Linked DNA regions of Xenopus tropicalis. The protein of the gene in region 2 purifies or fractionates together with the protein of the main gene of each other region. This does not show direct contact. Links are inferred from orthologs where the notes say so. Each region holds a gene or a part of one and is shown on either strand. Other genes may lie near its edges.

The links.
Region 1: the proteins of gosr1 (region 2) and bet1l purify together in Homo sapiens (affinity purification with western blotting; 3 studies listed by BioGRID and IntAct, with this or other methods). This does not show direct contact. The link is inferred for Xenopus tropicalis from reciprocal best matches to the Homo sapiens genes GOSR1 and BET1L.
Region 3: the proteins of gosr1 (region 2) and napa purify together in Homo sapiens (affinity purification with mass spectrometry; 3 studies listed by BioGRID and IntAct, with this or other methods). This does not show direct contact. The link is inferred for Xenopus tropicalis from reciprocal best matches to the Homo sapiens genes GOSR1 and NAPA.
Region 4: the proteins of gosr1 (region 2) and stx12 purify together in Homo sapiens (affinity purification with mass spectrometry; 3 studies listed by BioGRID and IntAct, counting the BioPlex papers as one, with this or other methods). This does not show direct contact. The link is inferred for Xenopus tropicalis from reciprocal best matches to the Homo sapiens genes GOSR1 and STX12.
Region 5: the proteins of gosr1 (region 2) and stx5 purify together in Homo sapiens (affinity purification with western blotting; 3 studies listed by BioGRID, with this or other methods). This does not show direct contact. The link is inferred for Xenopus tropicalis from reciprocal best matches to the Homo sapiens genes GOSR1 and STX5.

The regions. Positions count from the first base shown.
Region 1 is NC_030680.2:24,001,288-24,006,352, reverse strand, and holds the start of bet1l (BET1-like protein), read right to left. Parts: upstream 3,105-5,065; 5' UTR 3,012-3,104; coding exon 2,993-3,011; intron 2,756-2,992; exon of another isoform or gene 2,694-2,755; intron 749-2,693; coding exon 657-748; intron 221-656; coding exon 164-220; intron 1-163. UniProt on the Homo sapiens protein: Vesicle SNARE required for targeting and fusion of retrograde transport vesicles with the Golgi complex. Required for the integrity of the Golgi complex.
Region 2 is NC_030678.2:32,037,694-32,040,843, forward strand, and holds the end of gosr1 (Golgi SNAP receptor complex member 1), read right to left. Parts: intron 2,453-3,150; coding exon 2,328-2,452; 3' UTR 881-2,327; downstream 1-880. UniProt on the Homo sapiens protein: Involved in transport from the ER to the Golgi apparatus as well as in intra-Golgi transport. It belongs to a super-family of proteins called t-SNAREs or soluble NSF (N-ethylmaleimide-sensitive factor) attachment protein receptor.
Region 3 is NC_030684.2:79,904,114-79,908,200, reverse strand, and holds the end of napa (alpha-soluble NSF attachment protein), read right to left. Parts: intron 3,380-4,087; coding exon 3,329-3,379; intron 2,628-3,328; coding exon 2,526-2,627; 3' UTR 800-2,525; downstream 1-799. UniProt on the Homo sapiens protein: Required for vesicular transport between the endoplasmic reticulum and the Golgi apparatus. Together with GNA12 promotes CDH5 localization to plasma membrane.
Region 4 is NC_030678.2:83,638,527-83,643,547, forward strand, and holds the start of stx12 (syntaxin-12), read right to left. Parts: upstream 3,328-5,021; 5' UTR 3,307-3,327; coding exon 3,213-3,306; intron 1-3,212. UniProt on the Homo sapiens protein: SNARE promoting fusion of transport vesicles with target membranes. Together with SNARE STX6, promotes movement of vesicles from endosomes to the cell membrane, and may therefore function in the endocytic recycling pathway.
Region 5 is NC_030680.2:36,552,832-36,557,911, reverse strand, and holds the start of stx5 (syntaxin-5), read left to right. Parts: upstream 1-1,810; 5' UTR 1,811-1,879; exon of another isoform or gene 1,880-1,902; intron 1,903-5,080. UniProt on the Homo sapiens protein: Mediates endoplasmic reticulum to Golgi transport.

The DNA.
Region 1 (5,065 bases), on a different chromosome or scaffold from region 2:
AGGTGTTCTAAATTATGGAAAACAAAATGTCACTAACATTCTGGATAACAGATCCTAAACCTTTACTATAATTATTATAAATATATATATATATATATACACACACAACAGATAATGAACAGACTGTTTTGTACAGGGATTCGAAGTATCTATAGAGTCTTACCATGCCATCCAGGTACTTGTTATGGTCATCAGCCTCTTTGTCAATGTCCAGTGCAAGCTGTAAAAAAAAAAAAAAAAGGAACAGATTGTGATATCCGAGTGATTATGCAGGAACAGAGCCCAGGCAAAAGAGGCAGAAGTGCCCTGTACTTTATGCATACAGTAGGAATTGTTAGAGAGGCAGAAGTGCCCTGTACTTTATGCATACAGTAGGAATTGTTAGAGAGGCAGAAGTGCCCTGTACTTTATGCATATAGTAGGAATTGTTAGAGAGGCAGAAGTGCCCTGTACTTTATGCATACAGTAGGAATTGTTAGAGAGGCAGAAGTGCCCTGTACTTTATGCATACAGTAGGAATTGTTAGAGAGGCAGAAGTGCCCTGTACTTTATGCATATAGTAGGAATTGTTAGAGAGGCAAAAGAGAAAGGCGCTGTGAATAGAGGCCTACACATCAGTTATTTATTCCTGTAGAATATCTACCACTCCTACTTACTGATTTCAGCCTGGTCACCTTCGAAGAAAGATTTTCTGACAGCCGTTTGTTCTCTGCATCCAACATCTCATCCACTGCTCCTGAATTTGGCCCTGTAAAAAAAACAAAGAGCAACTGAATGGCAGGTTTTTCTTTTTTGGAAGGGGAAGGGACAGTGGTGCCGGCCCAACAACGCGGGGAAGGGACAGTGGTGCCGGCCCAACAACGCGGGGAAGGGACAGTGGTGCCGGCCCAACAACGCGGGGAAGGGACAGTGGTGCCGGCCCAACAACGCGGGGAAGGGACAGTGGTGCCGGCCCAACAACGCGGGGAAGGGACAGTGGTGCCGGCCCAACAACGCGGGGAAGGGACAGTGGTGCCGGCCCAACAACGCGGGGAAGGGACAGTGGTGCCGGCCCAACAACGCGGGGAAGGGACAGTGGTGCCGGCCCAACAACGCGGGGAAGGGACAGTGGTGCCGGCCCTGAATCACGAGAGTGGAAACTAGAATGAGACTGTCAGGATGTAAGAAGGGATTTCCAGGATGCCCGACTGCTGTCTCACCTAATGCACAAACACATCCCCAGACTAAAGTCCTCATGTGTGACGTGCATTTAACATAATCAATAAAGCCAATTTCAATATATATCAATATATATCTGGCCATGGCAAGGCAGATCCTAGTGCGATATGGCCATAGTCACATATGGGCAGAGTTTCTCTGGGCCTTTTTGCAATATACATTCATTTCAGAAACCCCAGGGTTAAAAGAAACTACAAATGCATAGACAGTCAGGGCCACAGTCTTTTCGGGCATTCAAAGAGAGCTGATGAGCCGAGGTCTTCCTGGCAGCACGTATCTGCTACTGACTCACAAACCATTAAAACTAGAAAATCAATGCACACTGCAAAAGTGCTCAGAGACTGCTAAGTTTATAGCAATTCCCCTTCAAGGAGCCGACTATAACGCACTAAGAAAGTAACCTGGAGCCCTATGAAACCCTCCCCCACCCCTATTATGTCTGAAATTATTACAACAGCCCCTCAGATATCAACAAGAGAAGAGAGAGGCACCCAAATGTGTGCTTATTATAATATTATTATTATAAGTACAGGAAATCATTGCTTATGGTGCCGTACCCACGCACAACACTAATACACTTCCCCAGCCCAGTAACGAGCAGAGAGATCTCCAACTCCCCTCACACTGGGGACTGCTGGTACAGACTGCAACACTATACAGACTGGTACAGACTGCAACACTATACAGACTGGTACAGACTGCAACACTATACAGACTGGTACAGACTGCAACACTATACAGACTGGTACAGACTGCAACACTATACAGACTGCAACACTATACAGACTGGTACAGACTGCAACACTATACAGACTGGTACAGACTGCAACACTATACAGACTGGTACAGACTGCAACACTATACAGACTGGTACAGACTGCAACACTATACAGACTGGTACAGCAACTGGCAACACCTATACAGACTGGTACAGACTGCAACACTATACAGAACTGGTACAGACTGCAACACTATACAGACTGGTACAGACTGCAACACTATACAGACTGGTACAGACTGCAACACTATACAGACTGGTACTGGTAAGACTGCAACACTATACAGACTGGTACAGACTGCAACACTATACAGACTGGTACAGACTGCAACACTATACAGACTGGTACAGACTGCAACACTATACAGACTGGTACAGACTGCAACACTATACAGACTGGTACAGACTGCAACACTATACAGACTGGTACGACTGCAACACTATACAGACTGGTACAGACTGCAACACTATACAGACTGGTACAGACTGCAACACTATACAGACTGGTACAGACTGCAACACTATACAGACTGGTACAGACTGCAACACTATACAGACTGGTACAGACTGCAACACTATACTAGAGACCCCCACGACTCTCTAATGACTCCTAGAACAGTCTCAGTCTACACAGAGTAGAACCCCCGCACCCTGAACACTGTGTAGTACAGAGTATACAGCACATTCCCATACTGACCTTCCCTAACAGAGAAATCACCCACCAAAGGCCTTCAGAGTACTTCCCCATACAGCCCCCATGGAGACCACCCCTAGCATAGAGCCCCACCCAGGACAGAGTACCGCCCCCAAACATTAATTCCAGCATAGATTCCCTCTCAGTTCCTTTGCTTTACGCTTAATATCCCAGAGCGAATCCCACGCAAACACCTTCTCTGTTTGCCAGGCCGCTGCCCCCACTCTCTCGGCATTCAGGGAGCACTGATATCCTACATAACACACGTATTTATCTCACACAAGCACCCTAGACCCCAGTACCTCTGCCCCAGTCCGCCATCTTGGATTCTTCTAAATGTGACGCGGCAGGATATTACACGTCACTAACGTCACCCTCACAGCCACCAATACGCTTCAACCTTGCGTCAGTGCGTCAAGAAAGGACGGACTGTCTCATTAAGCCACGCCTATTAATGTTTAGGCGTTCGCTGTTGCCATGGAAGCAGTTTATCCGAATTATCCTAATATAAAAAAAATAAAGTGAAACGTGCACTCCTTTTGCTTCTCCTACTTTGTGTGTTGTGGCTAGCTCCGCCCCACATGGCGAATCTCTTGGGGGATCTTGGGATTTGTGGTCCAACAAAAACAGTGGAAGCAGATTACACATTACAGCTCAATACTCCCCCCACATATTCTCCAATTTGGAGCCTCTCTCAATGTAGTTTGTGACAAAAAAGGCTTCCAGTGCTTTAAGGAATGGCGACACCAAAAAATGAAAATTATTTCAAGTAATTAAAATATAATGTACTGTTTCCCTGCACTAGTAAAAGTTCTTTTACTTCATAAACCCTACTCTAGTTTATATATACAAAGCTGCTGTGTAGCCCTGGGGTTATGGTTGCCACCTGTCTGGTAAAAATGATGCTTAGTGCCAATGTTATTATTAGAAAAAAAAGATAAAAATATAGGAAGGCCGGTATTTATTTTCAGAAAAGGTGGCAAAAAAAAAAGAGGACAAAAGACAAAAAACTGATAAGCTCTCTAGAATACAATGGGAAACTACACTGCTTATCTATTATCAGCTGTGTAACCTGTGTCAATTAGGGCTCTTGCACACGGGGAGATCAGTCGCCCGCGACAAAACTCCCTGTTCGCGGGCGACTAATCTCCCCGAGTTGCCATGAGCGAACATGTGAACATGTAAGTCGCCGGCGGGATGGCACACGCGGCGGCGCGATTTCACGAAATCGCCGAAAAAGACTCGCGAGGTGACTAATCTCCCCGTGTGCCAGAGCCCTTAGCCTTATTTCAGTTTGATACAGCTTTGTTTATATAAAATATAGTTGAGATTCTAATGCAAACACAACTTACCAGTGCAGGGCAATGGTACAAAATATAGTGACTACTGTGATACATACATTTTTTTGGTGTTACTGTTCTTTAAAGTATGTCTTAGTGCTGGTGTTGGAAATCAGGGCGATTAGTCACCGTGACTAATGTGACTACTGTGGCTATAACAATGCTGACTTGTCCCATACAGCAAATTCCACAGGCGGCGACCTGTATGTTCATGTATGGAAATATCCATTATGTCGATTAGTTTCGGTGATTGTGTTTTTAATTGTCCTGTCTGTCTTTTACCTTAGATACCAACATGCAGTCTAATCTCATACCATGTACCGCCTGAAGATGGCCATACACGGGCCGATACTAGCTGCCGATATCGGTCCCTTAGACCGTTTCAGCAGCTCATCGGCCCATGTTGGGGCAATAACGACGGGCCTGCCTGACCGATACCTGGCCTGAAATCGGGCAGATATCGATCGGGCAGTTTAAAAAATTTAGTCGGATCGGGGACCGCATAAGGGCTAAGATTGGCTATTAGGTAGCCTCTATGCACACTATCAGCTTACAGGGGGCTTTATTTGGTACTAAATATTGTTTTAATTCAATCAAAACTTGCCACCAAGTCAGGAATTCAAAAATAACTACCTGGTTTGGGGGCACTGAGAGCAACATCCAAGGGGTTGGGGAGCAACATGTTGCCCCCGAGCCACTGGTTGGGGATCACTGTATGAGGTGGGGGATTCTGAAAATGTACCAAAATACTTTGTTTGAGCCACAATTTGTGTGCATTTATTAGAAGGAATATTGACTACATGATACAACAGGAAGAGACTTTCAGAGGATTCTGGATATTGTAGTTCTGCACTTTAAAACTAATAAAGCTAGGAGTGATTGGTAAAGATGGTGTTTAGATTTAGTATTTAAAAAGTATCTCTGATGCAAATTATACAGTTCTTTCAGGTTTAAAAGTAATTTATAATATGAGTTCAGCACAGTACTGGATGTTTATAAATAGGAATTGTTAGGTCCATTGATCATTTATATAGC
Region 2 (3,150 bases):
CCGGGGTGCTGCTCGGCAGTAAGGCTGCACTTCCCATGTAATGTATCTCAGTGAGGGACACACACCCCGGGGTGCTGCTCGGCAGTAAGGGTGGCACTTCCCATGTAATGTATCTCAGTGAGGGACACACACCCCGGGGTGCTGCTCGGCAGTAAGGGCTGCACTTCCCATGTAATGTATCTCAGTGAGGGACACACACCCCGGGGTGCTGCTCGGCAGTAAGGGCTGCACTTCCCATGTAACGTATCGCAGTGAGGGACACACACCCCGGGGTGCTGCTCGGCAGTAAGGGCTGCACTTCCCATGTAATGTATCTCAGTGAGGGACACACACCCCGGGGTGCTGCTCGGCAGTAAGGGCTGCACTTCCCATGTAATGTATCGCAGTGAGGGACACACACCCCGGGGTGCTGCTCGGCAGTAAGGGCTGCACTTCCCATGTAACGTATCGCAGTGAGGGACACACACCCCGGGGTGCTGCTCGGCAGTAAGGGCTGCACTTCCCATGTAATGTATCTCAGTGAGGGACACACACCCCGGGGTGCTGCTCGGCAGTAAGGGCTGCACTTCCCATGTAACGTATCTCAGTGAGGGACACACACCCCGGGGTGCTGCTCGGCAGTAAGGGCTGCACTTCCCATGTAATGTATCGCAGTGAGGGACACACACACACAGTGCAGGGATAGGTGCGCCAGGGCCGACTCCGATACATTCTGTGCAAAGGGGGCAGTCCAGGGATTTCTCATTCCCCCGGGCAAATGCCGATACAAATCCTGGTTTGCATTTATTTATTTATTTTGCGAGGTATCCATCGGAAACCTACTCATACTTTCCAGAAGCGATCAATACTCCCAATCGCAATAAAAACCCCGAGGCAGAGCTATGTAGAACTCTAATTTATTATTAAATTACATAACAAAGCTTTCTTCTTTATTACAGACAGAAAAAATGCACATTAGGTGCAGAAATGGGAAAATAATTACAAGAGCAATAAAATATCATTAGTTTCATGGAGCTATCTGTAAAGGCGAATGAGAAAGTGCCATTAGGAGGGGGAGGGGTATGTACAGGTAGAGGCTTTGGGATTAGACGCTTTAATTGAGATTAACACTTTCCTATTCAACGGGGTGACTAAAGTAATGGGCTTTGCATGTAACCAGGCTACCAGCTCCACTCATGTCAGTAGCAAACATTCGGGTTTACTGTAAAGTTGGGGTGCTTGGGAACAATAAAGGGGTGATGGCTTAGTGGCAGCTGTTATGGAATGCAGAAGGTAAGCTCATCCAAGCAGCTATACGAGACATCCGCTGTGCCAGTTTTTGGATGATGGAACACCTTTTGCATAAAGCATTTCCAGTGAGCACTGCTGACCAGCTAGATTTCTCCCATGATACACACAGGCAGCAGCAGGGGGCTGAGCATGGCTTCCCCTTGTTTAGGAGACAGGAAATCCAAGCTTGATGAGGGAGGGCCTTTAAACCCAAACACACCTGGTACTAATCTTGTATTTCCACCAGCTACAGGACTCAAGAAGGGTAATTTATCCCACAATTACTAATTGGAAGGTCCTTCTGATAAATATGATTATTACAGCATCCCAGCTGAGAATCACCTGATCGCTACATAGGCTGGGCATACAACTACACAGGCAGCTTGAGGAACACTGGAAGGTCCCAAATGGGTAACTAACTGCTTGTAAGGTTCCTGCAAAGATGCAACCAAAACTGATGTTCTCTGGCAGGATTTCCGTGAGTTGCATATGGGAGGTGAGAGAAAAGACACCTATTTGGTAACCAAGTTACCTCCTCAAATATCTGTTCTCTGAGTTCCATGTGTCCCAGTGAGTGGCTTTAGAAGATAGTAAAACATTTTGTATGAACAATGTTGCATTTATTAGGGGGGGTGGAGGAGTTAAGAATGCATTTGTGACTAAATTAGTGCACTGTACAATTATTCTGCATAAAACTGAATGTTCAGGCAATCAGACACATACCTTGCTGGCAAAGCCGGTCTGATGGCTGATGGCCTGGTAGCAGCATAGCACAATGGATGTTTAACTCCCTCGGAAAGTACATGTCTATATGTCCGGATACATCATGGATACAGTAAACAGTTACATGTCGTTGTGTGCGCGTAGGGCTGGCGAACACAGGGATACTGCCAGTGCTATGAAGATTTCCAATATAAAATGTAAATTGGTTTAAGATATCCCACTCCCTTATCTACAGGTTGTGTGCACTGAACTGCGCCTTCCGCGCTTCACTTGGGCTGGATGGCAGCTGGACTTTGCCCTGGATTGTGGTTGGTTAGTCTGTGGCGCGTCAGTCATCAATGGATAGCGTACAGCAGCAACAAAATAGTGCAAATGCCGATAACTGCGCCCAGGATGAGAGAATCTCTGCGCTTCCTCAGGTTGATTCTCTGGATGAGGCTGTTAACGGCGGGAAAACGATCTGTAGGAACGTGGCTAAGGGCTGGAACAAAAGCATGGGAACAGCACAACTAACATGGATACTATGTACGGGCATGTAACATATACCTGACACACTAGCGTGTCATTGCACTTGCACCCTGAACAAGGTGGTAATTCCAGGATTCTCACCCCAAGTTACCTCAAAAGGTGCAGCAGACTTGGGCTAAAAGAATCACATGCTAATACCATTTTAACACTGTGCTCTGGAAAACATATGCCACAATGGCAAACAAGCGCATTGGCACTGACATCTGGAACAACTGTGGTGGGCACGACTCCCATTGCAGCTGGAATGACACTGGAATTCTGTGTGAGAACACTGCACACTGCACTCAGTTTATACATTTTACATATATTATTGCACAAAAGGAATAAATGGTAAAATATATTTTTTAACCAGTCATTGTGATGTTACATTGCTGAATAAAACTCATGCCGTACCACTCGGATACCCCAAGTTCCATGGACGCTATACTAATCACTACATGTTCATGGAATGGAAATGTTTCCATTTTAGAGCAGTTGCCCCTGGGCTGCACCCTCCTACGATACAGAAATGAGAGGGGGCTGCAGGGCAGAATGGAAAGGCTGCTCCCAGGAGACTATGGGCTTGAGAGGACATAGAATGATACATGTTCTATACTGTAGCTCTAATGAGTAAACCCCTCCTTACGTCCT
Region 3 (4,087 bases), on a different chromosome or scaffold from region 2:
GGTGCGTGTATGGCCACCTTAAGTGCTATTCTGAAATCTACTGGGAGCTGCTACCTTGCTACTATCCCATTGTTCTGCTGATCGCTGCTGGTAGGGAAAGGGAGGGGGGTGATATCACTCCAACTTGCAGCTCAGCAGTAAAGTGTGACTGAAGTTTATCAGAGCACAAGTCACATGGTTGCGGCACCATGAGAAATTAAGAATATGGCTAGCCCCATGTGAAATTTAAAAAATAAACATGCAGGAGTCTGCTGGAGAAGCTCTATTAACTAAAGTGTTTTGAAATAAACATATTTTCCCATGACAGTATTCCTTTAAGTTGAACTGCTGCACACAACACTTGCATCATGTCTACTTGTCCTGATTAGTGACAAGTACATATCACTTGAAAACATGTGACCCTGCATGAGGAACTTCTTGCAATTCTCTGCATAAACCCATATTTTAAACCACATGCAGGTACGCCCTACTTTTATAAGTAAAATTAGCTCAACACTTTAATGGTAAAATGGTAAAGAATAATCTCACTACATATAGCATATATGTTTATGTAGTGCCTCTTTGCAGGACTTGTCTGATCGGAAAAACTTGCTAGTATGATTTAAACCAGGGACTGGTTTAAATCCCAAATCCCTTTTTGATATCTGTATTGCTGCCCAAATTCCTGTACTTGATTAAATGTGTTTTAATCATACAATATGGTCACAGTGCATGCAAACATATACAGGTGTCTGTGTAAATCAGATGTGGCTGATTCACCCCTGGTATTGGCTAATGTATCAACTTCTGTAAAACAAAATTGGTTAATATCTCATTTACTTTATTTATCAGTTTCGCTGTGTGATAGGATGGTTCACAAGATAACAGAGGCTTGGATACAACTTAATTAATGTAAAATACAGCCTGTTTAAGAGGCAAAACAAAAATATAGACAGAACATTTAGAACAATATGTAAGGGTAGAACGTGCCACTAAGTAGCAGATTTACAGTAACCTATCATTTGAATTTAAATTGCCCTCTAGATCTGTCACCTGATATGTGGACATTGCTGCACTTCACAGGTCTACTGCTATTAAAATTTACTTAGAGGAAACATTAGTTAGATGCTACAATGATGGCAAATTGCCAGTTATTCAATAAAGAATTGCTTGTACCGCTATAAACTTTAAATTGGGTACATATCATTTCTAAGATCTAAGGATAAATAAATAGCAACTGTATTTATAGTTAAACATACCGCATTGCCAGGATGCAGTCATTCTGGTTTTGGTTTCCATGAGTGGAAACATATATAATACAGCTATTCTATTTCATACTCAATTTAATGCAAACTATATAAGAAGGGAGGAGGAGGCAGAACCCCATCCATTTGGTCAATGTGCAGTTAATGGGGTAGTAAAACATTAGTATTTCAGAGCATTTATAAAAATGTTTTCTTCTGTTGGCATTTGGTTGCACCAGTTTGAATCCACCACTAATGCAAAAAACAGGTTCTCTCTAGTATGACTGAAAAGTGTCTGTTTCTGGTAGTATCTATTTAATTTATCAAATGTATCTATCACATTTTAATAGGAGAAACACTGTGTAGACATAATGTCCAATTTTGCTAGGTCTGGGAAAAGATCTTACTACTTCTAGCAGCAGGTTTTAGAGTGACCAGGTAGTAAACAGTAAAAATAAAGAATACACACATTTAAGACCACTCTGCACAATAACGCTAATGGCACATGGCAAAATTTGCAGCATTTTGTCTCCACACCAACTTATTGGCCTGAAGGAGGGGGGACAAATCTACCTCTCATTTGGTGTGGATGGAAAACATGCGCACCTGTCACTAAGCAGGACAAGGCGCTGTTGCCATGTTTCCTATTTACATGGAATAGGAAATGTCAAAAAATTTGCAGCATTTCGTCCCTACCCCCTCAGAATGGTAGATCACCAGAGCTAAATCGCTCCTTGTGCCACTACACTAAGAACATGAGAAAATTTGAAAATGCTCTTCCATTTTTATATTTTACTCCCTCATTAACAAATCTATTAAAAAGGAAAAAAAAACATATTAGTAAAAGAGATTAAATTGCACCACACCTCCTAAAATCCATGCAATGTTTTTAACTAAGCCTTTTAACAAACCCTCTGAAAGTTCCAGCTGGGATGAAGTGCTTGAGTGGAAGAAGATGGCGGAGAAGAGCTCACAGCCGAAAAGTCTATGGCGCAAAATACATGCTAACACATGCAATGTAGTTGTGGATATTTGGTAAATTGCTTAAAGATGTACGTTTATTCAGATACATGTCATTTTGGCTGATCATAGTTTAAAAACTCCTTCCATTCATTACTCCACAACTGTGCTTGAAACCAGAGAGCAACAGCAGGCCACAATGCACAGCACATAGGTAGGGTGTGGAAACTTGCACTGATGGAAAATTGAGTAATAATAGTAAATAGGATATAAGCAGTGCCCCCGCCTCCCCAAATTCCTCCAGCTGGCTCCATCTAGAGGAAAGGGTTTCACCCTTAAGAATTAACGCAAGTCCTCCTCTTCTCCCTGGATGGTTTTTTTTATGCGTAACAGCATGGTTGTCAGCCACTGGTCCAAGCGGGAGATTGAGTCATACTCTTTCACCTAGAAGAGAGAGATATATCAGATCTGGCTGTAATCATGTTGTGATGCATTAAAGGAATAGAGTGTTTATAATATTTTAGAACATTCAGTGTATGTAGGGTGAGAAGTGACTTTATAATTGTTTGGTACACAAATCAAAAGACATGGCAGTAGTGGGATGAATATGAGAGGTAATATAAAAAATAAAAAGTATTTAGGCTATATCCTGTAACCATTACTTGCAATTAACAAATTGTTGCTTTGTTGTTTTAACTCAAACATAGCTGCTATCAGCAGAAATCTGCTGCATTCTTTGAGGTAGAGGTTTGTTTGTGGCTTTTGTTTACCCAAAACAGGGTCACAGATATGTGAAATTATAGTTTTATGAGCCATTTAGTCATCATTATGAGAATATCCAGTGCAGCAAGTAAGTGTTTACCCAAATGGCTGCTAATAATAATAATTACAATATGGTTTTTTTAGCCTACGTGAGTATCTCAAAGACCAACAGGCATCATAAATCTCATCAAGTCCTCAGGCAATTTATTAAAGAAAGTATTTTACATTCATTAGAAATGAGCAGCAAACTTAGTGCCCATTGAGCAGTGGTGTTTTGTAAAGGAAATACTTAGCTATCATAGCAGAATGCTAAGTTCATCAGACTGCAATTTATGGCATAAATTCACGCATGCATGTTATTCATTTGAAACATATTGTCTTACCGCATCTGTGTAACTGTCTACATTTTGCTCTTCATGAGCATCGAGTAGTTTCTGTTGGTGGAAAAATGAGAAAACACATAAGGACAGTGACCTAATACATGTGGAAGGTGGATCAAGTACAGTAAGTGTAGCTGCTCAGCATATGCATAAACATATGAGTGTAAATTGGAGCAAAACAATTTTAAGTGATGATGAAATATGTTAATACACTACTAAATATCATTAGTAGTTTGTCCTTTTATTCTATGTTATAAAGGATGTAAATGACAGCTGTCTGAAATTCAGCTCTTTTTTGCAATATTTAAATTCAACCAAACCTTTTGTATTTAACCCAGTAATGGACAATATGGTATATGTCAGAGGTCACTTGTGGCCACTGAAAACTCATAAGGGCCTCACATTATAGTCCATGTTGGTGATGGCTCACCCTGTGCACCCGGTTTTCCCTCAGCAATACATTTGTTGCCTATTGACAAGAGATGGCCTGTGTGGGAACTATGTTGCTGTCTTTTTGCCGTTTCTTAGAAAATTGTTAATTATATGCCAATAAAGTGTCATTAAGTTTTAAAACCATTGGTAGTATTTTTGATGCAATAATGTATACTTTAAAAAAGGGACACATAGCTTCGCAGTAACCCCTATCCAGTGTTTTGGGTCATTGTCCATCTGTATCAATTTGACTGCATTTAGCTGGATTTGAGCAGACAGTATGCCTCTGAACACCTCAGAATTCATTCGGTCCCTTCTGTCCTGTGTCAC
Region 4 (5,021 bases), about 52 Mb from region 2:
GGCAAGTACTGGTTGTTCCCTACACTTTACCTTTCAGTATGACAATTACCCAAAGCATACATCTAAATCAACAAAGCAATGGATTCACCAAAGAAAGATACATTTTCCAGAATGGCCCAGCCAGAGCTTAGACCTTAATCTGAATGAAAATCTGGGGGTGACCTGAAGAGGGCTGTGCACAATAGATGCCCTTGAAATTTGAAAGATCTGGAAAATTTTTGCAAGGAGGAGTTGGCAGAAATTGTAACCAGCATACTTATCTTCACTTTAAAGAGTGTAAAAATAGACTCATATTATAGCCCCATAATACATATGGAAAAGCTATTACTGGCGATTATAATGGGATTCTCATCTGAAATCCTTGTGCATATTTTCAAGGGTGGTCTTTGTGAAAATCACCTGTACTTGTGTATTCCAATGATTCGACCAGAATGGGGGTGGGTCATAAGTGGCCATACTGCCTGTAATAAGAAAACAGTACCTTGTACTTGCATGGTAACTAAATTAGTAAAATCCATGTTGGTAGCAGATTATTTTTTTCCTTTTAACAAATTTAAAAAAGGTACTGAGATCAGTATCATGGGAAGACTTCTTATCCGGAAAACCCCAGGTCTGAAGTCTTCCAGATAACTGATCCCAAACCTGTACAGGTATGGGATCTGTTATCAGGAAACCCCTTATCCAGGAAGTTCCGACTCCCACTGACTCCATTATAAGCCTATAATTCTAATATTTTTTTTAAATGTCCTTTTTCTCTGTAATAACAGAACAGTTACTTGAACTTGATTCCAACTAAGATAAAATTAATCCTTATTGGTAGCAAAACAAGCTTATTGAGGTTAATTTTTAAATAATCTTTTAGTAGACTTAAGCTATGGAGATCCAAATTACAGAAAGATCCCTTATCCATAAAATCTCAGGTCCCTAGCATTCTGGATAATAGGTCGCATACCTGTACCTGTGTTTTTTTTTTTTTTTAATAGAAATTTATATTTATTATTGATATTCCTTTTCTAGGCCATCTCTAATGAGTTACAACTAAAATATTGCACCTTCTTTATTTACCTGTACCAGACTTCAACTTCTTTTTTAGAAATGGCTGCTGTTTTGAAGATGTTGGGCTTTGGGTGTGGTACTGACCCGACAAGGCTGGAAGTACTGTTTAAATCAACCTTGACTAGACAAGTGCCACAGGTAAGTAAAGGGGGTAGGGGGATGCCAGGCTTCAGTGTTAAAGCTTTAGGTTATGGAAGGAACCTTTTTCACCAACAAATTCCTGTGAAAACCTGTAAAGTCTCTGTATAAATTATATTTGCTGAACATGCCCAATAAAACATTACCTATCTGAAAAAGACTATGTAACTTCAACCTGTACCGCACTTCATGACAACAGTGCACCTTATATCAGTATGACACAACAACACACCTTGACAGCATACCGAGAAGCTGAAAACACAGTTATCAGATCTCAGCAGTGTGCTGTTATCAGTGCAGAATAACTGGGCCATTCCAAAACATACAATAACAGTCATTTGTAGGACAGCAGCAATTTTCCTGTAAACACTGCACTGTGCTAGTCTATAATTACAAAAAGAAAAACAGCAGCATAGTGAACAATGAACAAAAAATCTCATTACATGAATTACGTCCTTGCTATATCCACTTTTAATTAGAGGCTCTCACATGGAGTGCACATTTACCACTTCTCATTAAAAATACTGAATATAATTAAGATACTATCATCTCAAAAAAACCTTTTTAAAAAAAAATACCATGTCAGTCCAAGCCTGCTTGAATCACAGTACAATGAATGTTCTGTTATAAAGATAACTAGATTCTCAGCTATAAAGCAAGACAGGACTGACTGCTGCCTTCTTAGACTAAGGACATTAATCATGTGATTTCACTTTCAAATGGAAGCGGAAACATAGGATTTTTAACAAGTAAAAATGTAAGGTATTTTCCCCCCAAATTCCTTTACTTTACTAAACCTAACATGACCAACAGGCAAAGTGTAATTTTGTTAAAGATGCCCCTTTAAGATGGTTAAGGAATGGGTATGTTTGGATAGTAAATGTCTTATGTCTAGTCCAAATAGAGGGAGTGACAAATTGCTCTTATGACGTATTTACTACTATTCCATGGCATCCTTTAATTAAGAGCTGAACACTTGTTTAAGAATGAAACTACACATAGACTTGAAGAACAGAGGCCAGTAGTACCAAGACTCCATATTTATTTATTTACTTACTTCTGGGGGTATGTAATGATTGGCAGAAGTCAATACTGTGAATCTAATACATAATGATATACAAGAAAATACATATTTCCTGCCAAGTCTCATTCATTCAACATGATAAATCACACATTATGAACTCCTATCCTGCTGTCATGCTGGGAGGAAGGAAATATTACAATTTCATGGCCCCTGCCTGACCTGGTGAATCCTGCTTGTGCCCACGCCCAAAATTTTCTCTGAGCTTGCAAAGCAGTGATCAGGCAGTTAGGGGGGAACAAAAAACCCCCATGGAGTAAGGCAGGAATGTAACCCACTCAACACAAATTCAGTAAGCGAGGGTAAAACTGCTCAGCCTGATTTCACTGGTTGCTGAACTACATTTCTACAAATGCTGCCTTTAGGATAATATTGTAATGTGTAGTTTAACCACAGCAAGAGCCCAACCAGGTGACAAGCCTAACAGTAGTAACTTCTTGGTAACAGTAACCCAATCAGGAATCTCCAGTAGGAAATGACTTCCCACTGCACTTAGCTCCCTTCCTGCCTGTCACCCCTGCTTCTCTGTGCCCCTCTGCCAATGAACATGCCAGCTGATAGCTGCTGTACTGTACACCCACCCACCAACCAACACAAGGAAACATTAGTTGATTTTTGTCATTTGCCAACTGTCCAGTCTCCATATATGCAATGCTATATAAATAATTTTCTCTATTTCCAGCTGTGTCAGTATAGCCGCCCTTCCTGTACATCAGTGGGTGTGTAGCACCTGGGAATTACACATAATACAAGGGGCCCATATAACATGTTAATCTCTGTTGTCCAAAAGTTCCCATTGCCAATGGCTAACAATTCGTCCTTCAAATCTCCACCAGTACCCCCATCTATATACTGCGGGTGTGTGCAGCTCGCTGCGATCACGGATATATATACAGGAATAGGACCGGTGCTCTGTAGAAAAACTGGGGATACTGACTGTTATTTGTGATCCTCTGCACATTGCCGCTGCAGGTCTGAATAATGCTGTTGAAGTCCCGGGCACGGCTCTGCTGCTTCATGTACCCAGACATGTTGCTCCTCTTAGGGCCCCGTCCTCCTTTCTGAGTATAAGAGATGGTGGGATGAAGCGACTCTAAGGAAGTCGTGATGTCATAGCCATGTGACCGTGATGTCACGTAGGAATTGTCAGGCTCCTATCAGCGATAAGCGCCTCCCAGTCATGATACCACGTGACAGCTTGGAAAAGATGCTGTTGTTGCCACTCCTTTAAAGAGAACAAGGAATGCAAATGTAGAATTCTGCTGGTTTATAAAAATCAGCAAGTGCGCCTTTGGAGGATGGGGTACTTAATATCCCAGGTCCTGGAGCAATTGCTGGGTCTAATTATTTTTTTTTCCCTACACCCCTAGTACTTGGATTTAATGGAGGGAGATGAGAAATATGCTGGGTGCACATGGGGGACAAGTATTGTGATCTTTAGTAAAATGTTGTTTACCTGTACAACAGGTAAGCAGTTGAAGCATAGTGTGTGATATGTATGTTCAAGGCTGCTGTTAAAGGGCAAGGTGATATATACAGGAATTATATATGAGTGATGTGTAGGCTGGGACTGGCAATCTATGGGTTCTGGCAAATGCCAGAGGAGCTGCTGTAAGATGTTATAGACAGTTAATATTTATTGGGCTGGTAGAGGGCTGTTTGGACCTCTTGTGTACTTGAAATGCCAGGGCCTATTTTGACTCCCAGTCTGGACATGGCGATGTGTAATATCTGTTGGACTTCTTGGGAACTCTGAATGCTGAGGGAGGGCAGTTTGGTAAGTCCATCAGTGCCAGTGGATAGCAGCGTTTTATGTATGGATGTTTCTGGGGGTTGCTAGATAAGAACTGTGATTGGTTATTTGGTAGCCCCTATGAGGACTGGCAGCATACAGGAGGCTCTGTTTGGCAGTACACCTGGTTTTTATGCAACTAAAAATTGCCTTCAAGCCAAAAATTAAAAAACAAGCACCTGCTTTAAGACCCCCTGGAGAGACATCTAGGGTTAGCGAGCACTATGTTGCTCACAAGCCACTGGTTAGGGATTACTGTTCTTACAGAGGCAAGTGATGAGTATTGTGCCACGCAAAAATCTTTGCGTCACTGCATTTTGAATCATCTTTAAGAAAGTATTGTGTGTGTGGGAGGTAGAAATACGGTAGTTTGAATTAGCAGAGGTGCGCCAGGAATTTTTAAAAAAAGACCCCTTAACTGCTCTCCTCTTTCCCATCCCATTATCATCCTCTCTTTCAGAGCCACCGTCAGGGGGAGAGGGGTACTGTTGTGCAGTGCTCGGTGAAATAATCTTCTGATGGTGGGCCTGGCAGTGTTGCCAAAGTTATTAAAATTGTTTATTACGTATGAAGTTCCGTCAAAGCGTACACAATTTGTGTAACTTCCGTAAAAACTGCCTAGAAACTTACTTACCTTGTGTATCAAGGTAAAGACAAGGCAAAGAAACTTGGCAGAGGCCAACTCCACTGACCACCAATGAATTAAAAAACTCAAGGTAAATTCCACTGCCCCCTTCCCAATTGACTTGCTGACTTATTGGCATATTATTTTATGTATTTATATTAATTATGTTATAGTGTAACATCAGCTGTTTATATTGGGATTCATTTACTGAATTATATGAGCATCTCCTACATGAACTTTTCAGCAGTGGAATGACTGGTTATTGAGCCCCATAGCAATATCATTTGGCCCCTACACTTACACAATTTATGTAACTTATGCAAAAACGT
Region 5 (5,080 bases), on a different chromosome or scaffold from region 2:
CGTGGTAACACCACTTCCTCAGAAGCCCAAATTGTGACACCCTCCATTTGAATTTAAATAGATAGGACACACACCCATTCTTAATTGGCAACTCACTGTTAACCCTGAAGTGTGAAAAACAAGCACATATATGTCCATAGACGTGATGAAAACCTTGTATATATAAAAACATATAAAGAGCACCCACCCGGGTGCTTATCAATTATAAAAAACTGTACCCTCCAAACCACACATCATTTAGGTAAGCTTAGGTGTTGTATTAGTAACAATAATGATGATAGTAGTAATAATAATAGTAACAATAGATCAAAAAAGTCACATGTATTAAATATTGTTACAAGTTGTTTCTAAGTTGTATATATATGATTATATGTCCAATTGTCAGACCACAATACTAAACTAAAAGTATACATATAAACATACTGCTTCCAAAAATATTAATCAATTATATAGCGGTGTGGTCACATGATTATCAGTAGAAACAGGATAATTCCCATCATCTATTGAGGCCCCCATATTGCTCTGTTGTTTTCAACCGATATATCCAAAAGACCTCTCTCTCTGAAAGTTTCTTATCTATATCACCTCCCCTAACACTTATACTAGGTCTATCAATAATCTGAAAGGTCACATGATTACTACTTTCATGTCTCTCTATTATATGTTTTGCTATCGCTGATCTCGTGTCCTTTCTCTCTACGGCTGATAAGTGTTCCAGAATCCTAGTTCCAACCTTACGAATGGTTTTCCCCACATACTGAGCACCACACTCACATGTGGCTAGGTAAATGACCCCTTTGGATTGGCAGTTGAAATATTGGGGAATGGTGAAAGTAGCCAGCAGGAAGTGGAACAGATGGGCAGGACTAGTGGGGTTTTGGTGGAATTTCTCAATAAATCTCAGTCAGAAACACTACTTTTTTTAAGCACAATCCTTCTATATCTAGAGGAGTATAATTCACTGGTACATTCTTAATTTTTATAGGATATGTCTCCTTTAACGTCACAATCATGCATCACTTATACAATCAAGCAGGACTTTGAGTCTTTATGTTTTATAGGCTCCAGTACTCCAGTCCAGTTTTATGTTTTTTTCAAGGCCCCACCCTTAGGTCAATGCAACCTTGCAAATATGATACTGGTGTTATCTTACCCTTGTAACTGGTTCAGGTCCTTCCCAGCTGGTGTATTACAAGTAATAGCATTAATGGCAAAGTCACACAGGGCACTTTGTCACCAATGGTAAATCTGCGCTACAATGGGCGACAAAACGTCCCTAGCTTCCTTCTTGTTGGAAGTACTGGGAACACATATGCATCACTTCTGCTTCCAAAGTTGTCTCAGGGCAAAGGCACATGGGACATTTGTTGTCCACCGTAAATCTGCACAGCCCCTTTACAAAGCAGCTCCAGGTTACTTCACAATGCATGTTTTCTCACTAGCAATTCACATTACTGCTGGTGGCAAGAAAACTAGGTATGTTCTTCCATCTGAGGTAGCACAGATTTACCAAGTCAATTGAATAACCTAAAGCCATATGGTACTCTGCTGAAAGTAGAATTTATTTGCCCATTAATATCCACTTTAGAATGCTAGGATAGATTAACAAGGTCATGACATTAATTACATGGTTGTAAGGCCACTTAGAGTTAGCTAAAAAGAAACGCCATTCCACAATAACGCCTACGTATTACTATAGGCAACCTTTCCACTACTAATACGCACACTTCCGGGTTAGAAACACACCTCCGGACTGACGCACTCAGAGTGCGACTCGCGAAGTACAGGAGCCGGTGACGTGTGTGTACGTGGCGCTGACGTCAGCATTTTCCCCGGCAGAAACAGAAAGAGAGAGGGAGTAAGAGAGAAGCGGTGACCGGTGAGATTTACTGTAAGGGGGAGGTGTGTTTGTTTCTGTTCCTATAATGTGAGGGCGCGGGGTCCAGTAAGGGGCTCCTTGGGCTCATAGTTTGTTGCCCACATTCTGTGGGAGGGTTTGATTTTGGGGGCTTGCCTTCCGTGACGTCATGCCTGTGGGGGGGTCTAATGACACTAAAGGTGATAATCACTACACTGGGTGAGAATTGATGTTAAGATAATCTTGAGTACGCCGCATACCTACTAACCTGGCTGTCTGACTGGCCATGGCTGTGACTACCTGGCTGTCTGACTGGCCATGGCTGTGACTAGCTGGCTGTCTGACTGGCCATGGCTGTGACTAGCTGGCTGTCTGACTGGCCATGGCTGTGACTACCTGGCTGTCTGACTGGCCATGGCTGTGACTAGCTGGCTGTCTGACTGGCCATGGCTGTGACTAGCTGGCTGTCTGACTGGCCATGGCTGTGACTACCTGGCTGCCCGTCTGGCCATGGCTGTGACTACCTGGCTGTCTGACTGGCCATGGCTGTGACTACCTGGCTGTCTGACTGGCCATGGCTGTGACTACCTGGCTGTCTGCCTGGCCATGGCTGTAGCTGCCCGTCTGGCCATGGCTGTGACTACCTGGCTGTCTGACTGGCCATGGCTGTGACTACCTGGCTGTCTGACTGGCCATGGCTGTGACTACCTGGCTGTCTGATTGGCCATGGCTGTGACTACCTGGCTGTCTGACTGGCCATGGCTGTGACTACCTGGCTGTCTGACTGGCCATGGCTGTAGCTGCCCGTCTGGCCATGGCTGTGACTACCTGGCTGTCTGACTGGCCATGGCTGTGACTACCTGGCTGTCTGACTGGCCATGGCTGTGACTACCTGGCTGTCTGACTGGCCATGGCTGTGACTACCTGGCTGTCTGACTGGCCATGGCTGTAGCTGCCCGTCTGGCCATGGCTGTGACTACCTGGCTGTCTGACTGGCCATGGCTGTGACTACCTGGCTGTCTGATTGGCCATGGCTGTGACTACCTGGCTGTCTGATTGGCCATGGCTGTGACTACCTGGCTGTCTGATTGGCCATGGCTGTGACTACCTGGCTGTCTGACTGACCATGGCTGTGACTACCTGGCTGTCTGATTGGCCATGGCTGTGACTACCTGGCTGTCTGATTGGCCATGGCTGTGGCTACCTGGCTGTCTGACTGACCATGGCTGTAACAACTTGGCTGTCTGTCTGACTGGCCATGGTTGTAACTACTTGGCTGTCTGACTTCCCATGGCTGTAACTAACTGCATGTCTTGCTGGCCATGGTTGTAACTATTGGCTTGCTGGCCATGGTTGTAACTATTGGCTTGCTGGCCATGATTGTAACTTCATGCCTGTCTGACTGGCCATGGCTGTAACTACCTGGCTGTCTGACTGGCCATAGCTGTAACTACCTGGCTGTCTGATTGGCCATGGCTGTAACTACCTGGCTGTCTGATTGGCCATGGTTGTAACTTCATGCCTGTCTGACTGGCCATGGCTGTAACTACCTGGCTGTGTGACTGGCCATAGCTGTGACTACCTGGCTGTGACTACCTGGCTGTGTGACTGGCCATAGCTGTGACTACCTGGCTGTCTGACTGGCCATGGCTGTGACTACCTGGCTGTCTGACTGGCCATGGCTGTGACTACCTGGCTGTCTGACTGGCCATGGCTGTGACTACTTGGCTGTCTGACTGGCCATGGCTGTGACTACCTGGCTGTCTGACTGGCCATGGCTGTGACTACCTGGCTGTCTGACTGGCCATGGCTGTGACTACCTGGCTGTCTGACTGGCCATGGCTGTGACTACCTGGCTGTCTGACTGGCCATGGCTGTGACTACCTGGCTGCCCGTCTGGCCATGGCTGTAACTACCTGGCTGTCTGACTGGCCATGGCTGTAGCTACCTGGCTGTCTGACTGGCCATGGCTGTAGCTACCTGGCTGTCTGACTGGCCATGGCTGTAGCTACCTGGCTGTCTGACTGGCCATGGCTGTAGCTACCTGGCTGTCTGACTGGCCATGGCTGTAGCTACGTGGCTGTCTGACTGACCAAGGCTGTAACTACCTGGCTGTCTGACTCGCCAAGTCTGTAACTACTTGGCTGTCTGACTGGCCAAGGCTGTAACTACCTGGCTGTCTGACCATGGCTGTAACTACTTGGCTGTCTGACTTCCCATGGCTGTAACTAACTGCATGTCTTGCTGGCCATTGCTGTAACTATTGGCTTGCTGGCCATGGTTGTAACTTCATGCCTGTCTGACTGGCCATGGCTGTAACTACCTGGCTGTCTGACTGGCCATAGCTGTAACTACCTGGCTGTAACTGACTGGCCATGGCTGTAACTACCTGGCTGTCTGATTGGCCATGGCTGTAACTACCTGGCTGTAAGTGACTGGCCATGGCTGTAACTAACTGCCTGACTGGCCATGGCTGTAACTAACTGCCTGACTGGCCATGGTTGTGACTTCATGCCTGTCTGGCCGTGGTTGCAACTACCTGGCTGCCTGACGGGCCATGGTTGCAACTACCTGGCTGCCTGACGGGCCATGGTTGCAACTACCTGGCTGCCTGACGGGCCATGGTTGCAACTACCTGGCTGTCTTGTTGCCTATGGCTGTAACTACCTGTCTGTCTCTCTGGCTGGCCATGGCTCTAATAATAAATGGTCACTCCACAGAAACCAACTTATTGGGCAATTATTACATTACCTGCCTTGGCAAGTGGGGCCCAGATTTTTCTGCATTAAAAAGTAAGAAAGCATTGCTGTTGGCCCCATTGGGGTACTATTTGGTGGGCCTCCTTCAGAACGCTTCTCCCCAAAGGAGGTGCTAAGTACTTTATGTTTTGTACATGATAAATGTCCAGCCTGCTTGGTCATACATGGGCAGATAACATAACACATACAAAGCATAACATCATGTCTGAGATCAAGACTGGAGTTTTACATAAAAATGTATTCTGATGCATGTAATGCAGTCAATGCTGTATGCCAATATTCTTAAGAGCATCCCTTGGTTTCTTTTTATTGGACTACTGAAAATCAAAGTAATTAAAATGTAATGTATTGTTGTGCATTTGCTTCAGAAACTCTACTATAGTTTATATAAACAAAGCTGTTGTGTAGCTATGGGGGCAGCCATTTAAACTGAAATAGGGCTAAATGGTACAGTTTACATATC